Rhinolophus ferrumequinum: one gene and its partner. The protein of the gene in region 1 interacts with the protein of each later gene in a pairwise test. Links are inferred from orthologs where the notes say so. Each region holds a gene or a part of one and is shown on either strand. Other genes may lie near its edges.

Evidence for each region.
Region 2: the proteins of FBLIM1 (region 1) and CUTA interact in binary tests that used the Homo sapiens proteins (3 or more experiments, as listed by UniProt). The two-hybrid records come from large-scale screens. The link is inferred for Rhinolophus ferrumequinum from reciprocal best matches to the Homo sapiens genes FBLIM1 and CUTA.

What each region holds. Positions count from the first base shown.
Region 1 is NC_046292.1:10,554,574-10,569,761, forward strand, and holds the start of FBLIM1 (filamin-binding LIM protein 1), read left to right. Parts: upstream 1-8,792; 5' UTR 8,793-8,814; intron 8,815-9,108; exon of another isoform or gene 9,109-9,202; intron 9,203-12,561; exon of another isoform or gene 12,562-12,582; intron 12,583-12,639; exon of another isoform or gene 12,640-12,735; intron 12,736-12,875; 5' UTR 12,876-12,886; coding exon 12,887-13,136; intron 13,137-15,188. UniProt on the Homo sapiens protein: Serves as an anchoring site for cell-ECM adhesion proteins and filamin-containing actin filaments. Is implicated in cell shape modulation (spreading) and motility.
Region 2 is NC_046286.1:3,725,106-3,739,609, forward strand, and holds CUTA (protein CutA), read right to left. Parts: upstream 7,961-14,504; 5' UTR 7,943-7,960; intron 7,858-7,942; 5' UTR 7,853-7,857; coding exon 7,811-7,852; intron 7,538-7,810; coding exon 7,329-7,537; intron 7,153-7,328; coding exon 7,093-7,152; intron 6,991-7,092; coding exon 6,945-6,990; intron 6,820-6,944; coding exon 6,770-6,819; intron 6,674-6,769; coding exon 6,547-6,673; 3' UTR 6,450-6,546; downstream 1-6,449. Other genes in the region: PHF1 (PHD finger protein 1), read left to right, coding at 2,165-2,323, 2,410-2,491, 2,600-2,695, 3,130-3,230, 3,329-3,477, 3,655-3,750, 3,961-4,029, 4,168-4,291 and 6 more; SYNGAP1 (ras/Rap GTPase-activating protein SynGAP), read left to right, coding at 10,379-10,445, 13,581-13,702. UniProt on the Homo sapiens protein: May form part of a complex of membrane proteins attached to acetylcholinesterase (AChE).

The DNA of each region.
Region 1 (15,188 bases):
GGAGCAGACAATCTGGCCTAGGATTCTTCATTCCTTACCTTGCGGTACACCTGGGGCATGGGAGCAGGCTGGCCCCAAGGCTGGATGGGCTGGTTTCAGCTGATTTCAACAGCTCAAGCACCACCTCTGATCCCTTGCTTTGTCCTACCCCCAGGAGGAGACTCTCAGCCCCAGAGCAGCTCAAGTGGGGGACATGCCTGTGGATGCCCCCGCCCCAATGCAGGACCCAGCCCCCCTCTGCCTGGGAGTGTGCTCAGATCCCTCTGGGCAGGAAACTTGCCCCAGTCCAGGAGGAAATGGCTCAGTTAGGTTGGCACAGGGCCAGCCCCTTGCCAGACCCAGACTGGGCACCAGGTTCCAACTGTTCAGATGATTTTGCTGGAAGTTCCCCCAGCTTCCTGGCCCCTGCACAGCCTGGGACCTGGTGCAGACAGCTCTGGGAGGGATTGGACTCAGCAGTCCTTTCCTTTTTATGGCCGCAGGGACCATTTTCCAAACAAAAATTGGGCCACGTGGGCTGGAATAGGATTCTTTTCTTATCTACTAAATTATTTTTGTGAAAAGTCTGACAAGGGTATAAAAATTAGATCGCTCTGAGGCATTTAACAAATCTCCAGACCAAACAAAGAGAAGTGGGCCTGAAGTCTAGAGGGTAGAGGAAATCTAAAAGGTATGGTCTGGAACTTCAGAGTTCCAGGGTTCCCACAGAGACCAAGAGAGCCAGGAGCCTGGGCCCTGCCCGGCATCCTTCTGAAGAGGTGGGAGCCAGAGACCCCAGTCCCTGTTAAGAGGGGATGGTAACCTTTGGGGAAGCTGGGATTGGCGTGAGCTGCCCCCTCCCTCCCTAATCCCCCACTCGTGGCTTTTCTGATCTGTGGCATTGTCTCTCGGGATGTCTTGCATTCCTTTCCCTAGTCATTCATTGACAAGTCATTACTGAACATCAGGTGAGGGATACAGTGACAGGGTTCTGGGGCTGTGAAGGGTGTATGTGTTACCTAAAGCTGCGTAACAAATGACCCCAAAGCTTAGCTGCTTAAAACAACAGATTTTTATCGTCTCCCTTTTTGTGTGGGTTGGGAACCTAGGTGCAGGTTGGCTGGGTCCTCTGGCTCAGGGTCTCTCACAGGCCACAGTCGAGGTGTTAGGTGAGGCTCTGATGTCATTCTGAGGCTCATCTAGGGAAGCCTCAGAATGACATCCCTAGAGGCTTCTAGGGAAGCCTCTAGGGAATCCACTTCCAAGCTCGCTCACATGGTTATCGGCAGGACTCAGTTTCTCGTGGGCTCTTGGGCCAAGGGCCACAGTTCCTCTCCACTGTTGGCCGGAGTTTCCCTCAGTTCCTTGCCACATGAGCCTCTCTAGAGGGCAGCTCACATCATGGCTACTGGCTTCCCTCAGAGCAAGCAAGTGAGGGAGAGAGAGAGAAAATAAGCAGGACAGAAGTCACAATCTTTGTGTAATCCAGTAGAAAAGTGACATCCTACTGTGTTTGCTGTATTCTATTGGTTAGAAGCAAGTCACTGGGTCTAGCCCATCCAATGGGAGGGGAGGGGATTACACGAGGGTGTGGCAGAAGGTGGGGATCCTTGGGGGCCATCTAGAAGTTGCCTTCCACACAGGGCTTCTTTGAGGAGACCTCAATGGACTGAGGGAGCCAGCTAAGCAAAGAGCTGAGGAAAGAATGTCCCCCACTGAGAGAACAGCACAGGCAAAGGTCCTGAGGTGGGAACATGCTGGGGGAACGTTAGGAACAGCAGGAAATTCGTGTGGCTGGAGCATCACAGAAGATGGAGTGTCACGAGTGAGGTCACGGAGGTGGACAGGGGGCCACCACTCAGGGCCACGTGAGGGTTAGGATTTTATTTTCCTGCAGTGGGCAGCCCGCAGAGGGTTTGCACATAATCTGACTTACATTTTTAAAGGACTTCTCTCCTTGCTGTTTTTAAAAGAGACAAGTGTAGAAACAATAAACCAGCTTGGAAATATTTGGAATAACCCACGTGAGGTGACAGGGGCTTGGACCAAGATGGTAGCTGCGGAGGTGGCCAGAAGTGGTTGGATTCTGGATGTATTTTGAAGAGTTGATAGAATTTTCTGATCAATTAGCCGTGGGCTTGAAAGAAAGAAAGAAATCCGGGCCCTTCGATGTTTGGCTTGAACAACGTGGTGAATGGGATGTGTGGACTTCTGAGGGCAGAGCGGCGTTAGCTCACACAGGTGCAGTCACTGTTGATGAAAGATCCAGGTGCTGGGAGGTGTGTGACGTGGTCTGGGGTTCCAGGAGGCCTCGCTGAGAAACAGCTGTTGAAACGGAAACCTGAAGATTGAAGGGAGTTGCCAGGCCAAGGGATGGCGGTGAAGCGCAGGCAGGTCTCAAGGATCCTGCGGAAGGATACTTACCTGGAAGGTCACAGGGGCGGGAGATGCTGTCACAGACATGGCTGGGGTGGGATTACCAGGGCCACAATAGGGTTTGGCCACAATAGGGGTTTGGCACCCCCCCACCACAGAGCAATGGGAGCCACAGAAGAGCTGTGTGGGGCGGGGGTGGGGGACTGGGATGTGGGCTACAATGACCACACGCTGTCCTAGCAGGATGGTCTGGCCAGTGCGAAGAATGGATTGTAAGCAGAACCAGTCCAATTTTAAGGGCCCTCTTTAGGAAAAAGGATACAAAGTTTGTATGAAAATGAATATGGATTGAGAAAGAGAAAGAAAAGCACAGCGGATTGCTGGAGCCCTAGAGACTGGAGTCCATTCTTCTGACAACATTTGGGAAGTTTGCCAGGAACACTTAGTGGAAAATGCTTCCTAAGTGTAACCTGGATGTGCCCCTCACCCCAGAACACTCCATGACGCCCAGCAGCCCCAGCGCCACACTGGCCGAGGAGTGAGAGGCCTGAGCGGAAGTCTCATTACCTACACAGGAAAGCCACCTCTGGCTAAGAGAGAAGTGGGGAGGCCAGCGGAGGGGCGTGGCATGGCCTAGGCCATGTTACACTTTAGTTAGGAGGGGTCTCAGGGATTGGGGGTGCTGAAATAAAATGCTGCCAAGAGTGCAGGCTCCCAATGGGGTGGGGCTTCAGGGAGGGGGAAGGGATCAGTGAGGGAACAGGGGCTCAGCATTGGCAGGCAGCCAAGGGCTTGGAGCACGCTCCCTCGGGGACCCTCCAAAGTGAGTGACGCTAGGATTTCCTCCCCTCTGCCCGCAGAACGGGCTCTCACCTTCAAGGCCAGGGCCAAGGAGGGGCCCTCCAACCCTGCTGAGCCTCAAGCCCCCTCCATGGCCCACCCCACACTTCCTACCCCCTCACTCTGGAGCCTGTGCTGATTTGCTAAATGGCATGGCCTGGTCATGGGAACCAGCAGGTCCAGCCAGAGCCAGCCCAGGCCCCCGGACCAGGTGGGGATTAAGACCCAGACATTGTTATCACAGCTGGGAGGCTGGGCCTTGGCTGGACCAAGTGGACCCAGGATGGGGCCTGAGAGCGGGGGACTCCATGTGGCGATACCTATGGCTCCCCCTTGGTTTTTGAACATTTCCCTCCAGATGTGGCGTGTTCAGTCAAGGGGCTTGGAGCTAGACTACCTGGGTTCAAATGAAACTTACTAATGGATGTGACCTTGAGCAAGTTACTCTCTGTGCCTTGGTTTCCCCATTTGTTGAGAGGACAGAACAAGATCATGGAAGTAGGGCACTTAACCCAGAGCCTGACCTTGGCCTCCAGTGCCCCTCGCCCCCAGAAGGGACTGTGACTCAGCCTCAGCCACACCCTTCTCATGTGAGGGGTCAATGAGCACATTGGAGTAAGGGGACAGGGAAGGAGGCACTGGCACAGGCCACAGAAGCAGGAACCCATTTCTGGGGAGGAAGGGAATGAAGACGTCCCCGCCTCCCCCATGTTGTCCACCCAGGTAGAGAAAGATGAGCACATTTGCATTTTCACTGGCCGCTCTCTGTTGAGGAACTAAAACTCTGTCTCCCTAGCCCTCAGAACAACCTTGTGAGGAGTTGATTATTGTTTTCTCTGTCTCCCCAAAAGAAAATTCAAGGCTGGAAGAGATTAAGTTACTTGCTCAAGGTCACAGAGCTAGTAAGTACAGGAGCCAAGATCCAAATTCAAGTGGGTCTGACCCCAAAGCCCAAGCTCTTATCAGCTTACTACCCTTTATTACCACTCCCATGATTTGCGTATCCAGCTACTTAAGACCTATTCGTGCATTTTGTAGGGATTCCTGAGACCCTACTACATGCCAAGCATTGTACTGGGTACTGGAGACACCGGGATTGTTAAGACATAGCCCTGCTCCCATTCTGGTGGAAAGTTTATTGGTACAACCCTGCAGCTTTGGGATGTATCCAAGGATGAAAGCAACTCCTAAGTCTACTCGGAGGAGTCAGGGTAGGCTTCTCCAAAGTGGTGACAGGGGTGCAGAGTTTGCTAGGAGGAGGAAGGATCCAGACCCAAGGAGTCTCACCCGCCTTCATCATGACTCTACTTTAAGAAATATAAAGATCATTTTAAGTCGTTGAAGAAAAAGCAAGAAAAAAGAGTGCATTGGCTCCAGACATCCAGGGGACGCCTTCAGGAGTCAGGTCCGTTTATCCAGCAGCTGAAGTGATGAAATCAGTTATCTCTCCTTCTCTATCATCTTTGCTCTCCTGTCCTCCATGTTGGTCCAAGTGTTGGCAAAAATGATGCCAAGCTTGCATCCTGACAGCCTGGAAAAATACTGACTCTTTCCAAATAATTCCATCCAGGCACTAAGAGTAGGGGTGAGGTTCCCCAAACAGAAACTGGATACTGTTACCAGAATCCGGGAAAGTGACACTGGCTGACAGAAACCATGTCCCTTAGATTATCTCATGGGACTAAGTCTCTTCCTTACCTTCAGCACTTTGTCCATCTCCCTGCAAAATCCTGAAACCTCCTTCATCTGTAGGATGGGAAAAGGAAAGGAACTCACCCCTGAACACCTACTAAGCACCAGGCATATTTATCCACATTCCTCCTATCAAATCCCCACAATGAAGCCACAGGGAGGTACTGCTACCCCCAGGTTACAAGAGGAAACTGAGGCTCAGGGAGAAGTGACTTGCCCAAGGTAACAGGCTGGCAAGTGTCAGAGCTGGATTCACCACGGATATTGATGTTACTCATATCTGTGCTTGCCCCAGCCCCGCCCCTGCTACAGTGTGGGGGGGCTCCCACTTCTCTGTATTGATTCACCCCCTGTCCAGCCCCGAGCACAGAGCCCCCCATACAGGAGATGCTCAGGAAATGTGTTGAACGGACCTGACTCCGAGCAGGCATAGAGGAGGATGGAGAGAGGGGCAGGAGCAGAGCTAGATGGCCCCGGGCGGGAGTGGGGCGGCTTCTGAGACTGCTGAGGAAGTGGGCACCCTTCTGTGACCTGAATGTACAACTTCATGCAGCTGCACATCTGGGCACCCCCAGGCTGGGCCTGACAGTTCTGCTCTGACCTGGCCCCAGTGGAGCCTGGCAAGGGGGACGGCAGTTGGACAGACAGATGCTTTCTGTCCTCGAGGTCTCTGGGCCCCGGGGACTTCAGCTCAGGGAGCCTTGTCCCTGTTCTCAGATCTAGCTGTCGAGCATATGGACCATGTGAGCAGAGAGCACTGGAAACCAGGCGAGAGTGATGTAAGAATAGCTAGCGCTACCATCCGTGGGACAGCGACCCGAGGCCCCGAGGGTGCCTTTTCAGTGCCTCTGTCCCCAACAGTTGCAAAGGGAGGGATTCACATCCCCATTCAAAGGCATCCAGCCCAGCTCTCCTATGTTACAGGTGAGGAAATGGAGCTTCAAAAAGGAAAGGGACTTGGCCAAGGTCAAAGCCAGCACCCGAGAGCTGGGAGTTAAGCCTAAGTCTGACCTCAAAATCCATGTTTTCCCTACTGCCTCCCTCCTCCTGTTCTCATGGCTGGCTCCTCCTCGTCTCAGCTTAAAGGCCCCCACCCACCCACCCAGAGAGGCCTGCCCTACCCTCACCTGCACCCCTTATTCTGTCTCAGTGCTTTATTCATTCACACTTCACCACTGGTAAGTATTATATTAATTTTCATTAATATCTCCCCTATCTCCCTGTAAGTTCCATGGAGACAAGGATTGATTGTATCTGCCTAGCACATAGTAGGTGCCCAATTAATGCTTGTTGGATCAAAGCCCTCCTCCTACTGTTGGCAGCAGGTGCCATGCTCCCCTCCCCTTCAGACTGGACAGCAGCAAGTGTCCCCACTGCCTTGGGCCTGCCCCCAAACCTATCTCCTACCCCTTCCCGGCCACCCAGGGTCTCAGCTGCCACAACCCTAAGAGAAGATTGAGCCCTTGCTCAGTTGCTTGGAAGAAAGCTGGTCCGAGGATGGCAAGGAGGGAGGAGGGGAACAGGGCCTCTGAGCTGGCAGACAAAGGGCGTGTGTTCTCATCCAGCGCACTTCCTGGGTTTCCATTGCAGGAAGCTTGGCACCTACCAAGGTGACACTGACACCTGGGTTGGTGCGGGAGACCCTTGGCCAGGACACTCCTTTCTACCTGGGAGCTGCAACAGAGGTGGGACAGGCAGCTGGGGGTGCTGGACAGCAGGTAAGTGGTGGCAGCCAGACCCCCACATTCCCCTTTGACCTTCCTCCTCCTGAGCCAGTCTTAGCCCAGAAGAGATAAGAGGATGTCTGGGTCCAAGACTGGGTCCGTGTAACCTTGGACAAGTTCCCAAGTCAACTCTTTGGTGCCTCATTGTCCCACGGGGGGCACAGTGAGGTGGCTTGGGGGAAATCATGGAGGTGGGGGAGGGCAGCTGCATTTTTCTGTTTTAAATAAGCTTCTGGGTCACAAAGCACTTGAGAAGGGGGTTCTACAGCTCAAAGTGTCTGAAAACCCCTGGGTCTCACCTTCCTCCTTAAGGTCCTTCCCATGTCTGGCGTTCAGCAGTTCCCTCCTTCCTTCTGGGGGAGGTATAGCGAAGTCTCATTCTAAACGTTGCAAAGTGGGAGGCACCACTGCCAGGCCAGGAATGAGCCCTACCAGGTGCTCTGGCAGCCTTGAGTGCGAGTCTCCCTCTGCCTCAAGAACTCTGGCTGCTTCTCTGAGCCTCAGCTTCTGAATCTGGGGAGAGTGGCAGTCACCCGGTCCCTGGGACCAACAGAGCCGTGAACCCAGGGGCACCTACTAGTCTGGGCTTGAATCCAGCTCTGCCACTTGCCCCTTGTGTGGCCTTGAGCCTCTCTGGGCCTCACTTTCCTCATTTGTGAAGCAGGAATAATCAGCCCCACTGCACAGGGCTCTCCTGGGGATCAAATGGAGAGCAGGCCTGTAGGCCGGACACGGCTCACAGGAACCCCTATAAATGGCAACCACTGCTACTGCTGCTGTTGTTATTGCAGAGTGGCTGTTACCGGAACCCCAACATTTTGTTTTGTTTTTTGAATCCACCTACCTGTGCGCAGTGGCCCAAAGAAATGCACGAATAGGTGTTTATAGTATAGAAAAAAAAAATAGTTTAGTATCGAACTGGCCAATATGGAGACAGGGAGCTTATGCTCAAAAACCTGACTCCCCAAGGGTGTGTAGGTTACAAATTATATAGGAAAAAAATCACAAGACACTGTGGGTTAGGGGGTGCGGGCTCGTGCTGGGAGCTGATTTGTGGGAGGTGAGGTAAGGGTAGTCTCTCTGGCCTGATGGGAAAGTAGCCAAAGGGTCGTTCCACTCAGGGCTCAGGAGGTCAAGACGTCATCTTAGCTGCCAGACATCCAGATTGACCATTGGTCAGGTCTCGGCTACTGTCTTCTGGTGCCTCGGGGTTGCTGATTATCTGCAGGGAAAGACGAGTTCTCTGAGGGGACCGAGGAGATTGAGAGAGAGAGATCTAGAGCTAGGATTTAAAGCTAATTTTAATGAAAGTCATAGAGACTCTCAGTTTCAGCTGTGAGGATCAAATGAAAAAAGGATGACAAAAAGTGGGTGAGGTATTTAAGGTGGGGTGAGGGTGGAAGAGCGTGGGACAGGGTTCAAGGCACACCCCTCAGAACCCCCACGAGCGTGAGCCCCTCAAAAGCAGCCCAAGGGCCACCCTGAGCAGCGTGACTGCAGCTTCGGGCCAGCAGAGGACAGCCACACCATGCCTGGCCTCCCCCCAGATGGCGCAGGGTCCAGTGCTCTTCTGGCCTCAGCCACTGTGGCTTTAATCAAAAGAACAATCTGTTTGCCTCTGAATCAGACCCAGATTCCTTTTCCCAGCAATGTTCCCTAGGCCTCCAGGGACTCAGGCGGCCCATCCCGGCTCCATCTCCCGCCCCAGGGCCCAGGCTCAGCTTCCCCTCCCCCCTGCATTATCTATCCACTCCAGCTTGGAGGTGGGAGTGCAGGAGGTGGGAGGGGGTCCATGACAGGTGACCTGATTGCCTGCTGGGCCTTGCCTACCAGACCTCCTGGAGGGGTCTGTCCCCCCAAGGACCCTGGGACCCACCTACAGAGGGCTGAAGAGTTCCAGACAGGTAGTGACAGCTCAGGACACCAAATCCAGGTGACCTGTTTCACTGAGGCACACCCTAAAAAAGCCCCAAGCCCAGCATATATTGACCATTCTCTGTGCTCTCCTCACTGTCATTGTCATATTTTATCCTCAGGCTGACCCTGACAGGTAGGCAGCCATACCCCCGGTTTTACAAAGAAACAGGCTACTGCCCAGGTAGTTAGTGAATGGCCATGGAACCCACGTCTAACTGACTCATAGGACCTTGGGAGCTTCCAGGCCAAACTGAGGTGTAAGCGCCCCTTCCACCTGACAGGGCAGGTAGGGCCACCAACCCAGGGGGAGAGGGAGAATAAAGACCACTCAAGGTGCACAAAGGACACGGGGTGGGTGGGTGTCAGTGGGAGAGCCCTCCCACCCGCCAGGCCTGGGCCGGGGGAAGGGAGGAGGGGTCGAGGGAACAAAGAGAGGGGGAGGGGGCAGCGCGGGGCGCGGCCGGCCAGGTGGGGGGGCAGGTAGGGGCCGCTTCCGCCGGGCGGGAATCCCAGGCCCCCTCCCCCAAGCCTCACCTTTTATGGTAAGGCGGCCGGGGCTGCGGGGCGGAGGGAGCCAGGGGGCGGGGAGGGCGGAGGGGCGGGAGGCCCGCGCTCCTCCCGGCTCTGCTCGCTCTGGCGTCGGACCGGAGCCGGCTGGGGCGCGGGCGGCCCAGGTAAGCGGGGTGGGGGTTGGGGGGTTCTCGCCCATCAGGCCTTGCCCTGGCCACACACAAGTGACAGTGCGGGCAACCCCAGGCCGAAGCCTACCCCGCCCCCAGCCGGGACCCCTGCCCCCTGGAGGGGGCTGGGGAACGGGCTGGGGGTGGGGGCTATCCTTCCGTCCTCAGTTCCTCCGTTTCTGTCCCCGGAGTAGGGGGTAGGGTTGGTGTCCCTGCCCAGGAGCGGAGCGCCAGGGGCGGGGGTGGGCAGGGCGGAAGCTCCCGCACAAAGAGGACAGACAGCGTCCCGCACATGGAACGAATTAAAGTCCCTGGCGGTGCCCCATGGTGACCCGGCCAGCCGCCCTGCTTGGCTGCTTGCGGGAGGGCGCCGGGTTTCTGGAGCTCCGGGGACCTGCGGGCCCTTTTACCCAGCTAGGGTTAGGGGAGGGGCAAGGAGGGGGGCCCCAGGGCTGCCCCTCTCTGGGCCTTAGACCCCATAGGTGTTTGGGACAGGGTGAGCCTGGGCGATCCCCAAGGTGTGTGCTTGGTGGCATGGGTCCTCCTCCTGCCCAGATCTGAGGACCCACGGAAGACGCTGGGCGGTGTGCCTAGATTTCTGTTCTTCATAATGACAGAAGCTAAGTCCTGGGCCTCCTAGGACCCCCAGGAGCCTAGTCCCTAAGGGTTCCTCTTCCCCCCCAGGGGCTGAATAACCAGCTGGCCTTCTCTTTGCACTTACTGTACCAAGATCTTGAGCACCATCTTTCCTTTTAGTCCCTCAGCCAGCCAGCGGTCAGGACAGACCTCATTATTCTCACTTTATAAACAACCTGGAGCCCAGAGAGGTTCTGTAACCTGCTCAGTGTCGCCCAGCAGGAAAGCAGTGGGGCCCCTGTAAACCCAGCCCTGTGCCTCCTCCACTTCCCTGGAGTGGGAGACAGGGAGGGGGAACACCTATCTAAGGCTGCAAGGTCCCCTGCGGTGGAGGGGGGTAAGGGGTACAGTCACACCTCCCCCTCCCTCAAACTTTAATTCCAAACCAAGCATAGATTGCTTATAGAGTATCAAAGAACAAAGCTTAGGGGCTGTTCCAGAGTTTTGGGAAGGGGTTAGAAGGAATAGGACAGGGGACAATGGCAGGGGTCACTACCGGTAGCCCCTGGAGGCCCTCCCACTCAGCCCGGCCGTCCCTGCCCTGGGCTTTAGCTTAAAGCCGGCTGGGTGTCTGGCTGGCTGGATCTCAGCCTCCTTCCTTCCTCTTGACAGGAAATGACTTTCCTTCCCTTTGTTCCCACTTTCTCTGCTTACCCAACTGGATCTCAGATTCACCCTCTGAGGGAGGAAGGATGGGGGTGGAGGGTCCTCTGGGTGCCCCACAGGGAGTTTTCTCACATGTACCCCACTCCAGAGTAACGTGGGGGCAGAGGGACCAGAGGGAAGTTGAGCTTCCCTTTCCTGCCGGTGCCTGACTACTGACCCAACAGACCAGGCTTTGAAAGTCCCCAGCTTGGCCCCTTCCCTTGGGGCCTGAAGTCCCAGCAAGAACCGCAGGGAGTGTGTGTGTGTGTGTGTGTGTGTGTGTGTGGGGAGGGGGGGGTGCCCAGCTGTGAACATCTGGCGTCAGCACTGGGAAGCTTGCCTTGGATGTTTTCCGAGAAACCGCCAGATCCAACTTCCTTAAGGGGTGGAGTGAGGGTCAGAGCTGGGTGAGAAGGAGGTAGAGGGGGCATCCACAGAAGTCTTGGGAAAGCCCAGAATACACTGACCACAAGGTGATTGGTTCAGATTGGGGCATTCTGGGGTGAGAACAGGCCTGAGAATTTGGGGCCCCCATGCCACCCAGGGATGAAAAGGTGTGTCTCAGGTCCTAGGACACCCTGTGGACGCAGATCAGATAGCGCTCCGTTAGAATTCCTAGTCTGCCACGGATGGCCTGTAAAAGTCATTTAACCTCTTGGGGCCTCACGTGGTCCATCCATGAAGTAGGGGCAAAACGGGCTGTTTTGAGAATTAGATGAGTTTTGAGACATGGAAGGCCCTGGGGGCACAGTGCATGGCACACAGCGCCTGGCACAGCCAATGCTTTATCAACCAGTGCCCTGTTGTTTCTTATATTTAAATCTCAGATGCACTCTGAAAGTTGTTTACAAAAATTGATAATTAAACTTGTAGCAAACGTGGGGGCAGAGGGACCAGAGGGAAGTTGAGCTTCCCTTTCCTGCCGGTACCTGACTACTGGACCCAACAGACCAGGCTTTGAAAGTCCCCAGCTTGGCCCCTTCCCTTGGGGCCTGAAGTCCCAGCAAGTCCCAGCATAAAACCAAAGATTATGACAGTCAATATAAGCGTATACACTTCCAGACATCACATAAAACAAGACACAAAAGAGAAATATTTTAAAGAATTTTGAAGCTTTCTTCATAGATTGGTTTCTTTTTCAGAACAGATATTTTATGACCAGACTGAGCTATACATTTTAACCAAACATATAAACCAATTTAGGAGAAATTTACCAGCATATGTTGTTTTTGTTGTTATTGTCCATCAGTCACCAAGATTGCCCAGGGGGCCAGTTGAAATTCATACAGAGGGAGGCCTTGGAGTGGCCCTCCTTACCCCTACCCCTACCTATCCCACCCCACTTCTCCAGGTTAATTCTCTAGGTCCTTAATTACTCTCCTCCCCGCTAAACCGGGTGGTCAAAAAAGAGGCTGAGGCCAGAGGAGTTTGGACTTGACTTGAAAGTGGTAGGGAGCTATGAAAGACTTTTGAGTAGAGGAGAAACAGCTTTACACTCTGCAAAGATCACTCCAGGGGCAGGGTAGGAGGCAGGTTTGGAGCCCACTGGGGCACCTGCCTGAACCAGGGCCATAGTTTTAGAGACGGGACAGAGAGAATCCAGCAATAGAATTAGGACCTGATTGGCTATGGAGGCTGATGGTGGGGAAAAGGATGCTGGCTTGTGGACTGGGCAGGGAGAAGGCTCGGTTCAAATTCCAGCTCCACTGCTGTATGACCCTGAACAAGTGAGCTCACCTCTTTGTCTCCGTTTCCTTATCAGTAGTGCCTCTCCCCCAGCAGCGCTGGGGGGATTTATGGGTTAATGGGCAGAAAGTGCTTAGGCCATCGTGAGCACAGAGTAGCTCTTGGTAACCAGCAGCTCTTATTGTTCTGTCTGCTCTGCCTCCTGGAGGCCGGCCCTGAGGCTGTTTCCCTCCCACAGCGGAGCTGGGCTGAACCTTGGGGACTTTAGCTCTCCCAAGAGAATCCTGTTCCCAGGTGAGGGAGGTACCTTAGGGTGTGGCCGTTGCAGGGTCGGGTGGAGCTGTAGGCGCTGCTCCTTCCTCACACTTCTTGGAAGAGGAACATGAATCATTCCTTAGGGGAGCAGGGTAGGGTTGCCCTTTGCTCCCCCAGGTGTGCAGGTTGGGGGGAGGGGCAGTCAGGCCTGTTGGGATCCATACCAAGTCACTGGGTGGACACCTGCCCTTCCCCAAAGGACCTCGCCAGCTCCTTCTTTGGCTGCGTTGGGTGTCGCTGGCATGGTGGGGTGTTGCTCCTGTCTTGCTGGAAAGAGGGAGGCTCCATGTCCCCAGGTGGAGGGTCAGTGTGTCCATGTGGAATGCACCCCCATGCCCCGAGCCTTGCCTGAGTCCAAGTTCCACTCTGCTCCCCACCCCACCAGGAGCCGAGGCAATGGCCTCAAAGCCTGAGAAGCGGGTCGCCTCATCAGTCTTTATCACCCTGGCACCCCCACGTCGAGATGAGGCTGTGGCTGAGGGAGTGAGGCGGGCAGCTTGTGAGGCCCGGCCTGGCTGCCCCTGGAAGTCTCCTGCCCCCACGAAGGCACCTGGTGCTGGCTCGGCGGGGAGGCCTAGTCCCTGGACACCCCCTGGCAGGGCTGTGGCCACAGTGCCAGCTGTACCCCCTCAGCTCTCCAATGGAGGTAAGAGGGTAAGAAGTGGGAGGGAGACTGGGTCTGAGGCAGCACTGAGATGGGGAGGAGAGGGCAGGCTCTGAGGTCATTCATTCATTCATTCATCAAGCACCTACTATGTGCCCGGCAAACTCTGGAACCCACCTGCCTGGGTTTGAATCCTAGTTCTTCCACTTCTTGGCTGTGTGATATTGGCAAGCCACTTACCCTCTCTTCCTCAGTTTTTCTAATCTGTAAAATAGGGATAATGATAGTACCTTCCTCCAAGGGTTGTTGTGAGGATAAGATGAATTAATACATATGTTTAGCTCAGCACCTGTCACGTAGGAAGTGTTAGATATGTTACTTGCTGTTATTGTTCTGGGCCCAACAGTGGGTACTTGAAAAGAGAGACAAGGTTTTCAGCCTGCATGAAACTTACATCTTACTGGAAATAGAGACAATTAAATATAAAATATAATATCTAGAAGACACAAGTGCTATACAGAAATAAAATACAGTGAATAAGTAAGGAGGTGAAAGTTTTCATAGGGTGGTCAGGATGGCTTCTCCAAGGAGGGGGCATTCAGCTTAGACCTGAATGACGGTGGAGCTGGCAGGCCGAGGTGGAGCTTGAAGGACAGGGGGGAAACCATGTGCAAAGACCCTGAGCAGGAATGCATTCGGTAAATTGAAGGACCTGAGAGGCGATTTTATTATCTCTCTGGCTCTTTTGTTCTTTTGCTGTGTCATCTCAGACAAGCTGTTTCCTTGCTTGGTTCCTTCCTCTGGAAAATTGAAATTTGGTCATGTGAGTGATGCGACCATCACAGAATGGATACTTCACAAATGACTGCTCCTTTTACATGTGCTTGGTCTGAACTGGTCCTGCTGCCATGGTGACAGAGAGCGTTCCAGTCCTCTGTCCCTGCCACTTCCATGGAAAGTCTCAGCTGTTGGGTTGGGTGGCAGCAGTGAAGCACGACAACCCAGCGGCGTGAGGCAGGGGGTTAGCTCATCATCTGGCAGGGCATCAGCTGGAACAAGGAGTCACTGAGATGCTAAGTGTGAGAGACTAGCCCAGGATGGCAGCTGAGCCCCCCGGGCTCCCCCAGGTGCCTAGTCAGACATCCTGCTGTCCTTAGCGAGGCTAGGCAGCCCTGTGCAGCCATCACCATGGAAACCACCTAGAGACCAATAGGAAATGCCAATCACAGGAGGTCAGAAAGGGGCAGGAGAAGGAGCCACACATGAGAGTGCACGGATATTCATTATGACGCAACCTACATTGATCTTTCCGTCCTAACCATGCAGCCTAAGAACACAGCCTTCTCCAGCTGCTTCTCCGTATAGGAAAACCAGGATGGTGATGTCCCAGATTTACACATCAGGACGTGTGACCAATGGGGGGAAAAAAGTCTCTTCTGTGTAGCAGAGGGAGCTCAAGAAATATTATTTTGATGCCAAAATGCCAAAATTTCCAGGGCATTTCCCTGGAATGATAGGCAGAAGATCCCGGAAGTCTGGGAACAAAACCAGACCTTCCTCAGAGCGGGTAGCCTCACCGTCACTGATCAGCCATTTGTTTGCCAACTGGGAGAACTCGAGCCAAGCACAGCACATCTTGGGGTTCAGCCTCGCTCGAGTGAGATAAGTCCTACGTGAGCAGCTTGGTCATGGCCTGACCACAGCACAAAAGCAGGCCCTGGGGCCCTGCCAGCTGTTTAAAGCCATCTCTACAGCACGCTTGCATCTGATGCCTCTTCTAGTGCTTACGCCCTCAGGAATCCACCCACATTTCTTTAGCCCTTTCATCCTGGCAGAAGTCCACATCTTCCACACCCCCAGGCTTCCTCCACTTGGCCCTGGACACTCGCCCAGCCACACCACCTCTCTCATTCTCGGGCTTCTCTTTGAAAGGCTGCTCCCCGTCCTCTTGCTCTCAGCCACCTGAGCCGAATTGTGCTCGTTCACCCCCTTTCTGCACACCTGCCCCGTGGCCCCATGTCCCTCACTCTTGAATTCCTACCCGGGCAGGTACCTGCCCACCCTTCACAGCTTGTTCTCTACGGCCTAAGGCAA
Region 2 (14,504 bases), on another chromosome or scaffold:
CTGTGGATCTGTCCACTCTGCCCAGCAATTTGTGTTTTGCAGTGCAAAAGCCTGCACTTTGCTTTTCTCCCTGACAAGCTGTACCCTGAGTGGCCTTCAGCTCCCATACTTTCCTGGTTGTCCACACCTACCATGTTTCCCGGAAAATGAGATCTAGCTGGACCATCAGCTCTAAGCCCTAATGCGTCTTTTGGAGCAAAAATTATAAGACTGGGTCTTATATTAATTTTTGCTCCAAAAGACACATTAGAACATTAGAGCTGATGGTCCGGCTAGGTCTTATTTTTGAGGAAACACGGTAAGAGGTGTGCCCACTAGCTATCCACAGCCACTAGTTGTTTCCCCGCTTGCCACAGGCCACCCTAGCTCCGGAAAGGTGGCCACCTGAACCCAAGGACGGGACTGACACACCCTCCCATTAACTGCTGGCTCTTTCCTCCCGCCCTTTCCCGGCCTTCGCGTTCGAACGGCCAGGCCTGGCCCTGCCCGCTGCCCATTGGCTGGCTCTCGGCGGCGTCACCGCCTGGGTTCTAGCCCTCCTTGGTCGGCGCCCCGGCCCTGGAAGTGCGGGGCGGGGCTCACGCCCGCCGAGACCGTCGCGCCAACAGCCAACGGCCGCCGCCCCAGAAAGGAGGGGCTCGGCCCTCCCAGGTGCCGCGCGCAGGAGGGGTCACGCGTGCGCAGAAGCTAGGGGGGACAACTTGCCACCTAGAGGGTGGGGCGGGGGCAAAGGCGGGAGAGGAGGGCGGGGCACTAGAGGGAGGTGGGCGCGGAGGGGGCATAGGGAAGGGTGAATGGAAGGCGGGGTCGTGAACTGGGGTCGGGGGCGGGACTTGGAGTGACCATGGAGGTTGGGGGGGCAGTTAACGGATGTGGCATGGGGCTGGGGCCAATCCGGAGGGCGGGCTGCCGGGAGGCGGGGGATTCCCTCCTGCCCCCTGGGCGGGTCTCCCTTCCGAAGAAGGGGCTTCGGGGATTCCCTTTCCCGCCAGGTCAGACTGTCCGCCCGCCCCACCAACGGAGAGGCCGCCGCTGGCTCGGCGCCCTCCAGGCCTGTTGGAGGTGAGGGAGGTGGGGTGAAGTAGTGCCCGTCCCCCCGCCCCCCGGCTCCTCCTTCCCCCCAGTCCTCCCCTCCCACCACCCTCCCCCCGAGCCAGTTTGTCCCTCCCCTCCCCTCCCCTCCTTCCCCCCGCCGCCTCCTCCTGCCGCTGCCGCTGCTTTGGCTGCTGCGTCATACGCCCCAGAGCCGCCGGGACGGAGGGGCTGGGCCTGGGGACCCCCCGGCCTCTGCCTGCACGCCCCCCGACGCCCAGACGTGCCCTCCCGGCGCGGGGGGTTCGCCTCGGTCTCCCACGTCTGCCTCTGCCCAGCTCCCGGCGTCCCCAGCTGTCACTGGTAAGGAGGCGGCGGGAGGCGCTCGTGGTGGGGGGGGAGCAGGGAGCCGGGGGTCGGCGCGCAGGGCGCCAGCGGGAGAGCCTCGTCGCCCTGGCATCGGGTCCGGCTGGGCCGACTGAAGTCCCCTGTTGGACTCGCGGTCGTGGGTAATAGAGACTGGGACTGGGACACGCCCCCCTCCCGGGGCACTCAGGGAAGTTATCTAACCCGAGGGCAGGGAGCCCCGAATTTGAGGGCGACCTGACATAACCTGACATCAGGATAATTGTTCTGAATGAGACACGCGGGCCCAGGGAGGCAGCTGTTTCTACTCTGGAAAACATCGCTGGAAAAGCTCCCAAAATACATCTCTGGGTAACAGAGCACCCCAATTATGATACCTCTAAACAGCAGGAGAAGGTGACAGTAGAAACTGAGTGGTAACCTTTGCTTCTGCAACCATTGTTTCTGCTAAAATCTCAAGGCCAGGATATAATATCCCAGGGGAGGTCTGGAAGCTGGGAAACTAGAGAACTAGGTTGGGGGTGGGGGGGGCCGTTAGGGAGAGGAGAGGCAGTCACCAGAGTTGGGAGAGCTGGAGTCAAGAAGCTTGGGAGGGGTGCTGATTGGTTTCCTATCCAGGTGTCTCAGGGATTTGGAGACTGGTGGGGGGGGGGGGTGTGCAGCTGCTTCAGTCCTTGACAGAAAAATAGGCAAATAAGGAAGGTTTCTTGGCTTTCATAACCTTCTCCTCCCATTCCACTTCTGGCTAGGCCCCCCCCAGGATGCAATGGCACAGCCTCCCCGGCTGAGCCGCTCTGGTGCCCCCCCACTTTGGGACCCAGCTTCCCCTGCTCCCACCTCAGGCCCCAGGCCTCGACTTTGGGAGGGTCAAGATGTGCTGGCCAGATGGACAGATGGGCTGTTATACTTGGGGACCATCAAGAAGGTAAGACCCTTCTGACCTGTCACCTCTCCCCATTCCCCTTATCTAATGCTGATTCCCATTTCATCCTCTATGCTCACCCATTCCAGGTGGACAGTGCTCGGGAGGTGTGTCTGGTCCAGTTTGAGGATGATTCCCAGTTTCTGGTTCTATGGAAAGACATTAGCCCTGGTGAGATCTTAGAGGCCTGGGAGTGGCTTCCCATGGAAGACAGAAACCTGGCTTGGGGGAGAGAAGGGGACCTAAGGACAGGTTCCTTGACACTGTGTTCCCTCATAGCTGCCCTCCCCGGGGAGGAATTCCTTTGCTGTGTCTGTCGCTCTGAGACTGTGGTCCCTGGGAACCGGCTGGTCAGCTGTGAGAAGTGTCGCCACGGTGAGAGGGCAGGACACCTGAGTGGTCCAGCTTGCCCTAGGCCCTCTGGGCGGTCTCTGACCCTTCCCACCAGGACTGGTCCTATGCCACCTATTCTGGCCTCCGTCCCCAAGCTACTGCTCTGGCCAGTCTCCTTGAACCTATAGTCTCACTCCCTTCCAACATAGGAAAAGGCAGCCATGGAATGGGGCTGTGTGAGCTTTGCAGGCAGAGGGTGGTTCAAATACTCCCTTTTCAAACCATAGGACTTTGGGCAAGTCCCTAAACCTTTAGGAGCCTCAGTTTTCTCACCTGTAAAATAAGGGTAATACCCCTCCCCCTCCCCAGGACCATGGTCAAGGATTAATGAGATAAGATTCTTCCTATCCTGATACCTAGCACACGCAGGTTTGCAATGCAATAAATGCTCTACCATCGATAATATCATTCTTCAGCTTATCACCAGGACTGCCATGTTCCAAGGGCCCCAGCCCCAGGAGAGGGAGAGGGCACATCCTGGGTCTGCCGCCAGTGCATCTTTGCCATCGCCACCAAGGTAAAGGCATCTTCCTGTGGGAGCCTCCCACCCACAGCCTCTCCCGAGTCTTTCTCTCCCCACCCCTCTGAAGCAGCCTGCCGGTTCTCTCTCTGCAGAGGGGGGGTGCACTGAAGAAGGGCCCCTATGCCCGAGCCATGCTGGGCATGAAGCTATCTCTGCCATATGGACTGAAGGGGCTGGACTGGGATGCTGGACATCTGAGCAACCGGCAGCAGAGCTACTGTTACTGTGGTGGTCCTGGGGAGTGAGTAATGAGGGGGCGGGGTTAATGAATGAGTGACAGTGTGGTGGTGGGGGAACCCCAGGGAATGGAGAAAGAATGGTGAGGGGAGTGCTGAAGGGGGTGGGAGTAGGTGGTGAGCAGGGTTGGGGCAGTTAAGGAGGGAGTGTCTAGAGGTCACCAGTCCCGTGTCCCCTTCAGGTGGAACCTGAAAATGCTGCAGTGCCAGAGCTGCTTGCAGTGGTTCCATGAGGCCTGCACCCAGTGTCTGAGCAAGCCTCTCCTCTATGGGGACAGGTGAGACCAGGGCACTCTCCAGGAGCCCAGGGGGCCCTCTTGTTCTCCCCACCCTCTCAGTTCCCCCACACCCGCCTGCCCCAGATCCATTCTCTTCCCAACCTCTGGAGTGTTTCTCACTGATTCGCCCATCCTTGGGTGCTTGTGAGTCCTCCAGAGCATGGTATAGTTTTCCTGTCTAAGGTATGTCCTCTCCTTGCTCACATCCAGGTTCTACGAGTTTGAATGCTGTGTGTGTCGGGGGGGCCCTGAGAAGGTCAGGAGGCTACAGCTTCGCTGGTGAGCTGGATTGGGCATGGCCTGTGTAACTCCTCTCTCAACACCCTGTTTTTCACCCTACCTGCCCCAGCCTCCCACTCGGGACTCCCCTGGCTTTTGTAATGCTTCCACAACCTTGACACCTCAGTGTTTCTCCAGGGTGGATGTGGCCCATCTTGTCCTCTATCACCTCAGCGTTTGCTGTAAGAAAAAATACTTTGATTTTGACCGTGAGATCCTCCCCTTCACCTCTGAGAATTGGGACAGTTTGCTCCTTGGGGAGGTAAGGAAGAGTGAAGGTTTGGGTGTTAAGGTGGAACAGGGAGATGTGAAAAAAAGGGAGAGGGAAGAATCAAGCTCCCTTGAGCCCATTTTCCCTCCCTTCCCCCAGCTCTCAGACACCCCCAAGGGAGAACGTTCTTCCAAGCTCCTGTCTGCACTCAACAGCCACAAGGACCGGTAAGTTGAGGAGAGGCTCAGAAAGAGATGGAGGTGTGGAAATGGAAGCCTGGGAGGGGAGGCACTGCAACTCAGCTGGAAGGTCATCCCTGGAAAGGGCTGAGTAGTGGCGGAAGAGTGATGGCAGCACTGACCCTGGATCATTTTTCTTCTCACCCCAGCTTCATTTCAGGGAGGGAGATTAAGAAGAGGAAATGCTTGTTTGGCCTCCATGCTCGGATCCCTCCTCCTGTGGAGCCCCCTACTGGAGATGGAGCTCCCACCAGGTCACTGGTCCAGGGGGGATGGGGAAATTCTCAGGGTATTAATCGGGGTATATGTATGGAGATGGGGAGGTCTTTGGGGTGTCCGGGAGGGGGCTGGGGGGATAAGGAGGCCTCTTACAGCTTCCCTTCAGGGCAGGGCCCTGGGGGAGGGGTCTCACGTCCCCTGGGGAAGCGCCGGAGGTCGGAGCCAGAGCCCCTGAGGAGGCAGAAGGGGAAGATGGAGGAGCTGGGGCCATCCTCAGCAGTGCGCAATCAGCCAGAGCCCCAGGAGCAGAGGGAGCGGGCTCGTCTGCAGAGGGCACTGCAGGTACATGGACGGGGAACTCCATGGGCAAATGGTGGCATGGGAAGGAATCAAGGATTCTCTCTCAGTCCCTTCCTCATCCTTCTAGGCCTCAGTGTCTCCGCCACCCCCCAGCCCTAACCAGAGTTACCAGGGCAGCAGCGGCTACAACTTCCGGCCCACAGACGCCCGCTGCCTGCCCAGGTCAGTGCTCCTCCACCCTCCAACCGGATGTTCCCTTAGAACCTCTCCTCCAATTGTACTTACTCTGGATTTTCTCACCAGAATTCTTGTCCCTCCTCCCCTTGGCTACCCACTGCCTGTCCTAGAGACTTCTAGAACCAGTGTCTGGTCCCCAGTGTCCTGGGGATGGGGTTCCGTGGGGGCAGTGTTTGAGCTCTGCCCCTCTCGGGGGGAGCATCCTGTTCCCCCACGTCAGGTCTTGCCTCTCCTCTCCCCAACCCCAGCAGTCCCATCCGGATGTTCGCTTCCTTCCACCCCTCTGCCAGCACCGCAGGGACCTCTGGGGATGGTGAACCCCCAGACAGGTGAGATTCTACCCCTTTACCTGTGACACCCCTCTTCGCCTCTGTTCTTAAGATCCTCAGTCTCCAACCATTTCTTCATTCCTCTAATCCACTTGTGGCCTCCATTTCTCGTCAGTCCTTATTGTGTCTGGACTCACAACTGCCTTTTCTCCCTAGGTCACCCCTGGAACTTCATATTGGTTTCCCCACAGACATCCCTAAAAGTGCCCCCCACTCGATGACTGCCTCATCTTCCTCAGTCCCAGCCCCCTCCCCGGGTCTTCCTAGACGCTCAGCACCCTCTTCTTCCCTGTGCCGTAGTTTATCTCCTGGGACTGGGGGAGGAGTGCGAGGTGGGGTTGGCTACCTGTCCCGAGGGGACCCTGTCCGGGTCCTTGCTCGGAGAGTTCGGCCTGATGGTTCTGTGCAGTACCTGGTTGAGTGGGGAGGTGGGGGCATCTTCTGAACAGCCTGCCTCTACCCACCTCCCCATTCACACACACCGGCACTTTCACACCCTGACCTCTGATCTCACCTACAGCTGGGATGTACCTGGGGAGGTAGGGGGTAGTTCTCCCTACTGCCTAGGCGGAATCCAGGTTGGGGGGAAGGGGAAGAGGCTCTCTCTTCTCTTCTCCCTTGATTCCTGACCCTTCCATCCCTCTTCCCATTTCCTTTGATGTTATTTTGTTACAGCTTTTAAAATATTTTTAAAAATTATTTAACCCCTGGGGATGGAGACTGAGGAGGGGAGGGATAAGGATCCCAGACTCTGTATGACTGAAATAAAGATAAACAAATCTAGCAACTCTTGAGTCATTCTGAAAGATGAGAACAAAGGCACTAGAAGCACTGATCTTCCCACCCAAATTCACATACATGACAAGAAAAGGCAAAAGCCAGAAAGAACCAAAGATAGGATTTATTAAGGGCCCACGCATCACCTGGAAGTCAGAGAGCACTGCAGTCTATGAGGGAATATGGCAGGAGCAGCGCCGGCTCATCACGGCAGGGCTGTGCTCGAGTCAGAGCCTGACTCCGTAACCTGGCGCACCCAGTGCAGGTACGGGGAGTTTCCCTGCTCCACAGGCAGCGCGATCACCTCAGCCACTTCATAAGGGTGCACAGAGCTGTGAAAAAGATGGGGGGGGTCACTCAAAGATTTACCCGAAGGAGCCCAGCCCCTCAGACTGCCCAGCACGTCCCACCCATCTCAAAGTTCTCACCGAACAAAATCTGTCAAAGCTGGAACCAAAGAACTTTGTGTTTTAATCATCTAAGGGACAAAGAAAAACATGGCTGAATCAAGGGGTGGGATTGATTTCAGGATCTCAGATGAGGGGTAGGGGTCCAAGGGCTCAGGGAACTGAGGTTTTGTGGGGTGGGGGTAATGTTTCTCACCATCAGCACCTCACTGTCTTCCTCAATCTTTCCTTTCCACTCATAGCTGAAAAAGGCAAAGAGAGTGTTGTGGGAGCAAAAGTTTTCCCCAAGAGAAAAGACTGCCAGCCAGCCCCCAGTTAGTTTAACCCCCAGTCCTATGACTCACATGGATGTAATCTGAGGGATGAGGTTGACACAGGCTGCCAGGCGCTTCTCCACCACAGCCCTGAAGGTGAAGAGATAACCCCATTCAGAGCAAGCACCCCATGACCCGAATTTTTGCACTGCCAGCCCCGAAGCAGCTGGAGCTGCTGGAGCAGGGAGGAAGCAGCGGGAAGGCAGTCTTCTTCCCCACCCCCAACTCCCTTCCTGCTCATCCTCTCTCCACACTGGGGTCCCCACCTGGCGATCTCCTTGGCGACCTTCTCGTTGGGGCAGGTGACAAAGGCTGCAGAGACCGAACCAGGTACATAGTCAGAGCCCGAGGCCGGCGGAGGCCGGAACGGGGGGCTTCCTGAAGCCATGGACAGCAGGGCTCGGGGTAGCAACTGAAGGCGGGAGGCCAGAGGCAGCAGCGCCGGCATCCAGAGAAGCGACAGGAGCAGAGCGGCCTGGTAGCAGGAGGTGAATTCGGTGTCTCCCCACAAAATGTCCCAGGAAACTGCGCCCACCCCAGGAACTCTTCGCTTGCACAGACACTAAGGCTCTGCCCTGCCTTTTCTGCACCCGGAAAGAAAAGGTCCCTGAAGCTGGGAGATAAACCTGAAAAATCAAGGCAAAGGCACTGTTTTCACTCCCTCCTCAGGGGCCAACCTCTTTGAGATTTTGGGTGCGGGTGGTGGTCGAGGCTTCGAGGACCGGAAGGGGCGGGGCCGGTCACTCACCCCTCCGCCGAGCAGGATTGCGGTAGCCCGCACCCCACTCATGCAGCCTATGTTGGTAGAAGAGGGTTGAATATCAAAGGTCACACGTAACGTCGAGAAAGGACCCCAAGCCCAGGAAGAGCGACCTCTTACCTGGGTGGCAGCAACGTGATAAGAAAACAGCGCACACCACGTGAGAGTAGACGCTGGACCACCCGAGTCTCCAGAACCAGCCAATCCGGCCCTCACGTAGCCCGATTTGCCCCGCCTCCTGGTGAGGGAGGAGCGAAGCGGGAGCTGACCAATCCACAGCCAGATATTCAGCGGTAAACGGCAAGGGCACGCCTGTTTCCGTGTAAACCGGAAACCGCCAATTGCAAGCGGAGGAGAGCCGCTGCGCCGTTCCACTGTCACGTGAGGGGGCCGGTCCCTTGGGCAGCGGTACCTCAATGAGTGACGCGAAGAAGCCAATCGCAGGCCAGCCCCGCAGGCCACGTGATGAGAGACCTGGCGCTAGGAAAGTGGTGCTGGAGACACCGCCGACTGGATGCGTCAGGTTGTGGAGTGAAGAATCATCTTTAGACCCCAGAGAGTGCCTACCGTGTTTCCCCGAAAATAAGACCTAGCCAGACAATCAGCTCTAATGCGTTTTTTGGAGCAAAAATTAATATAAGACCCGGTCTTATTTTACTGTAAGACTGGGTATAATATAATACCGGGTCTTATATTAATTTTTGCTTCAAAAGACGCATTAGAGCTGATTGTCCCGCTGGGTCTTATTTTCAGGGAAACACGGTAGTAATAGCTCCTACACTGTTCCCAAGGCCTGGATGGAGGAGTAGGAGGGTCTGAGAAGATTGAACCTCGGGGTGAAGAGAGCGCCCCCTGCCCTTTTGGTTAGGACTGACATATGCCTGGGTTTGGGAATGAATAATGATAATCTGAGGAGAAGCCAGCTGTCCCTAGGTAGGGGGGCGTGATTAGGCAGGCCCCAGCGTGGCAAGACGATGGCTTGGTGAGGAAAGATGCATTTTAAAAGGACAGAGTGAGACCCTGTAAATGGGATAGAGGATGATGAAAAGGAGGCTGAGGGCGGCTCAGCCTTCTTAGCTGAAACCCCAAAGCTGGAGCCAGACTGGTGAATCGGGGGAAGAGGAAAGATGAGAGCTGCAGGTTGGGATATGGAGAGGACACCAGGAAGTGGTGATGGTCCTTTTGTCCCTTACCCCCTTTTTATGTCACTCTCCAGGACTGGTCTACCTGTCAGCCTCGGGTTCCCTTCCCGTAACCCATCCCCCTAGGAGCCAGGACCTGTCCTACATAACCTCCCTTGGGCCCAAGCACATCCAGTGACCCAAAAATGGAGAGAGGGGCCAGAGAGAGGAGAAAGAGGTAGGAGGAAGCAGCAGAGAAAAAGGCTCTTGCCACTCCCCCTACCCAATATTGCCCCTCCTTCCAAGGTCTGGGGTCTCTGGTCAGCTGGGTGGGTGTGATTGGGCATTTCCCAGGCTGATGTCAGAGTTCTCTCAGACCTACCTCTCTGGGATTGGGGTCTACTCGAGAGCTCTGTCTTTGGGTTGGAGTTTGTCTCTGAGATAGATCGCTGTAAGATCTTTCAATGTTTGCATTGGGATCTTTCTTAGGACTGGGTTTTCTTTAGGATTTTGTTTTGGGGTTTCTGTTTCTGGGTCTGTGGTCACTCTCCAAGGTCTTTTGAACTTTATGAGTTTGGGGGTGCTGAGTTCTCCATCTCTGGGACTAGTTGAATTCTCTCTCTCTCTCTCTCTTCCCCTTCCCCCCTTTCTCCCCATCACCTCCAAGGTCTGGAATTTTCTGTCTCTGAGTTATCAGTCTCTGAGTGGGCAGTTTCCTTTCTCTGAGATCTAAATCTGGGGTCTCTGATATCTCTCTCTGAGTTCTCTAATTCTAGGTCTGGGTTCTTTCTGAATCTGGGTCTCATCTTTTTCTTTGAGTCCTGGCCTCGGGTCCTGGTCCCTGAAATCACCATCTGAGTCTAGAGTCTAAGATTTCTGTGGTTATGGAGAACCTTTTTGAGGCTGGAAACTCAGATTTTGACCTTTGACCTCTCAGGGTGGTCTGGGGTTTTTTTCCCCTCCCCCTGAGATTGAGGTCTATTTTCCTCTAGATTTTGGATTTGTGCCTCGGATTAGCCCCCCCCCGGGGGGGGTGACAACATACCTTTCTCTGTGGGTCTGGGGTCTGCATCTTTAGAACTTCCCTTTCTCTGGTGTTTTTGAGTCGGGGGTCTCTATCTCTCTGGTTCTCACTGAGTAGGGGTGGGGGCTGCAGAGTCTCTCCTCCTCCTCCTGCTCTCTCCTCTCTCGCTCACTCCCCCGCCCCCCTCTCTCTCCCTCTCTCTCTCTCTCTCTCTCTCTCCCGGCTGCCGCCGCTGCCGTTGGTTCCTATTCTCCTCCTCCTCCTCCTCTCTCCTCCTCTCTGCTCCTCTCTGCTCCTCTCTCCTCCTCTCTTCTCCTCCTCCTCCACCTCCTCCTCCTTCTCCCCCTCTCTCTCCCCCTCTTTCTCTCTTCTCTTTCTCCCCCGTCCCCCCGCCCCCTCCCCCCAGGCCTGATGAGCAGGTCTCGCGCGTCCATCCATCGGGGGAGCATCCCCGCGATGTCCTATGCCCCCTTCAGAGGTACGGTGGTGAGGGAAGGGGGAGGGCCAGTTGGGGGGGGGCAAAGGGGGGAGGGGCAGGGCGGAGGAGGGGGCAGAGCCGGGGCCAGGAGGGAGAGAGGAGGGCTGGGAAGACAGGGATGGGAGCAACGGGAAGGAGGGATTGGAGGCTAGAGGATAGGGGTAGATAGGGACCGGAGGGGACAGGAAACTGGCCTTGAAGGGGGCTGAGGTGAAAATGATGAAGGGGAAAGAGATCGCCAGAAAGGGTGGGAAAATAGGATAGGGTTGGGGGGAAGAGCTGCAGAAATAATTTGGAGGTGGGAGCTTAGCGATGAGGAAAATATCAAGGAAACAGAAGGACAGAGTCAGGAGACGGGCTAGGAAGGAGAAAGGAGAACGGGTGAAAAGAGAAGCAGTAGAATATTGTGGGGGGGCTTAGAGAATGGTAGGGGGTAGAAAAAGAGGAGGATGGAGGGAGAGAAGAAGGGGCCAGATGGAGAGAGAGGGAGGCAGTGGGGGGGGGAGGGTCCAGATGGAGGGAAGAGAGGAGAGGGAGTGGGTTGGGGGAGGAGAGACCAGGGCAGGGGGAGGGCCAAATATGTGTGTGTTTGGTGTGGGGGGGGCAATATAAGTAAGATTGAGCAATGGGAGTAGAGAGGCCGGTTAGACTGCCCCGGACTCTGACCCTCATGAAGGCCCTCCACCGGTGTAATGTAACCCCTGGGGTCTTACCTGCTCCATTCACTTCACCACTTTTACCCCCTCCCCCACCTCCAATCCTTATTTCCATTCCCCCTCCCTCCTCTGATGTCCATCACCTATATCTTTCCCCCCATATGGTGTCCGTTCCTTATATGAGTCCCCCTTCTGTCCTTCCCCTATATCAGTCCCTTCTCTGGTGTCCCTCTCGTTCCCTCTCTTCTGCCTGGTAGCTCCTACATGTCTGCCTCCTCTTCACCCCCGCCTTCTTGATCCCCTGGTCCTACTCCTCCTATTAGCTCCACCTCGTTTCCTCTGCTCCATGTCTAGTGGGGCCCTTCTGATACTTGTCCCTAGGGATTTACCATCATTCCTGCCTCCTCTTCTAGATCCATCCCTTCCATCCCTGTTACCTGTCCCCCAGCCCACCCTCTATTCCCTACCCTTCTCCCCTTCTTGTCGCCACAAGCCTGTGATATCCAATTTCCCCTAATGCCCCAGCTTTTATCACCCATTCCTCTTTTCTTGTCTCTTCTACTTTCTGGGGTGTTGGACATTTGGGGTGCAAAGACACAGGTTTTGGTGGGTGGATCAGAGCCTACAAGAAACCCGCCTCTGAGCCCTGTGGGATTTCTCATCCTAGTACCTCTTGCCCCTTTCTCAGCTGTGTTCCTCTATCTCTTGCATCTGCCTCCAGAATTTTCCTTACTTTAAGTCCAGACAGTGTGTGTGTGTCCAGAGTTGCTCCTAAGCTAAGTTCTTGCGTGCTTCCCTGCTCCCAGGGAGGTGTCCCCTGAAGTCTAACCTGCCTCCCAGTGGCTGCAGCCTGGAGCAGTCCCTCCCCTAATGATGGTGTGTATCAGCAGATTTCTCCTCTGGGGGTCCTCAGAGTTTGAGCGCCGCGGGCAAGTTGCCTGCAGTGGCCGCACTCTCAGAGCCTTGGTGATTTCTGTATCTAGAAGGTATTCGTTAGAGTCTCCGAAATGGCATTGAGATAGTGAGACTTTCCAAACATTGGGGTTTCTAGATGTCTGTATTCTGGGAATTCATCTCTGACTCTGATCTACAGGTTGGGTACATTTGAGGCACATGTTTGTAGACAGAAAAGGGCTAGAGTTTTCAAAACTCTCCTATGCAGGACATTCAGTTGGAAAGAAGCTCAAAGACCAGTTCTTTTCTTGCATTATACTCCTGATTAATTATTCTGTAAAGATAACAGAATTTGATGTTTCTTGCTCTAAACTCTCACACTGTGATACCTTAAGCCTATTTTCTATCACTGATTTGATTTCTCTCTCACTTCCATAGGGTCTGTCCCCTGTGTCCCTGTGATGGTTTGTGGCATTGGGGTTTAAAGGAGAGGAAGTTTGCAGGGATGGGGTCGCGGGAAGAAGAACAGCAAAGTGGGGAAGGTGACCCTGGGGGCATTTCTGAGCATGGGCGACCCTTGGCCTACTGTTCTTTTCTAGAAGTTTTGTCCCCGTGCCCAGCTTTAATCTTTGGAGGCTCCCTCTATGTCACAGGCCTGGATCTTCCATTCTTCCCTCCCCTCTTCCTTCCTCAAACTCCTCACTGTGCCTTGGGAAGGTTCCTAACCCATGGAGACTTGGTGGGGCAGGTGCAGTATTGAATCTTTGATCTCAGCATGGAATGGGGGAAGAATCCAGTCAGTCTCTGTTCATTCAAACAAGGGCATCTTTCCTACCTCCTCGCTCCCAGTCCCCCCACAGCCAAATGCTGACAAGACCCATCCTCCCCCTACCACCAGAAGAACCAGAACTTTCCCCAAAGGATGAGCAGGGTTGGGCTAGCAGAGGAGGGAGCAAAAAAGAGAAGTGGAGGGGAGGCCTGCTCATGTCTATGGCTCTGAATAGATGAGCTCCCTCATCCATCTCTTTTCCAGATGTTTAGCTCTCAGAATCCCATGACCGAAATGTTTCTACACCCCCAGTCCATCCTTCTTTCCCACAGGTGTGTGGCTTTCCTCTTATTCCCTTGCAGGTGGGTCGTGCCACCTTCCAAGTTCTTGTCTTCTGCAGTTATTTGGATGCCCTCGTCTTCCCAGACACCTGCCACCAACCCCTCTGTGGATTTTTCTTCTGCCAGTTTTGCTGCCCTCACCTTTTTATTTTTTTGAAATGGATGGAGAGCTTTCACCTTTCTCTGCCTCCAAACTTGTATGCTCTCTATCATGATATAATTCTCCTCCTGTGCCACCCCTCTATATTTCTTCTCCCAAGTCCACAGAGCCCCCTGTGATGCGATTCCCCTCCCCTCTTTTACCCCAGATATAGAAGCTTATCTTTGTTCCTTTAAAGTCACCCCCAATTTGATCTCCTCAAGGCATGTGGGGTCCCCTTTTCCTGCTTTGTGGACTCTCTTCATACCACTTTAGGCCTCTGTCTCCCAAATGCATAGAGCCTCCCTTACCGTTTTGTGTGTCTCTGTCCCCCAGATGTACGGGGACCCCCTATGCACCGAACCCAATACGTTCATTCCCCATATGATCGTCCTGGTTGGAACCCCCGGTTCTGCATCATCTCGGGGAACCAGCTTCTCATGCTGGATGAGGATGAGGTGAGCAGGGAAGATTGGAAAAGGACCACTGGGTCGGGTGGGAGAATGTGGAGAGAAATATGGGGAGAATCCTCGTTAGTGAAGGGACAGGAGACACCGAGAAGGCTGACAAAGAAGCTATATTTGCAAGCAGTGGGAGGAGGGTGGCCACTGAGATTTGGGCTGGGATGTGAAAAGGGGCCAGCATTCTCACAGGGGTCTTTGAGGGCCATGTGCAGTGTTGGGGAGATGTGGTTCTGAAGATGGGGGACTGCCTCTTGTTTCCACCTGCCCATACTGTGGGATCGGCTAGGATGGGGAAAATAAACTGAAGGGTGAAGAAGTGGGGATTGCTTTGGAGGGATCAGCTCCAAAGCCATCCTCAGGAACCCTCTCCTCTTCCCGCACTGAGCAAGACCCGTCACTTAGTACTAACCAGTCCTTTCTCCATCACGGGACAGAGTCCAGGGACTGGGACTCAGAGAAAAGGCAGGAAAGAGTGGGGTCTTTGGGAAACTGGGAGGGGGCTGGAGGATCCTGGGAGAGATGACAGAGGTCGGTGGGTCTTGGCGGGAAGAGCCCTGAAGACTGGCAATGTACCTGAGATCAGGTGTGGAGAGACACTGAGAGGGCTTTCACCAGGGACATCAGGAACAAATACAGGAGATGCCCCGGGAAAAGATGCCAGGGGTGTGGGGAACTGGGAGTGCGGCAAGTTGTCTGAAGGAGATGGGGCAGGGACTAGCCAGTGTGAAAGACGTGAAATGAACAGAAGCATCTTGTGGGAGGTGGCAGTCATGCAGGGTGATTAGAGAGCCAGGGG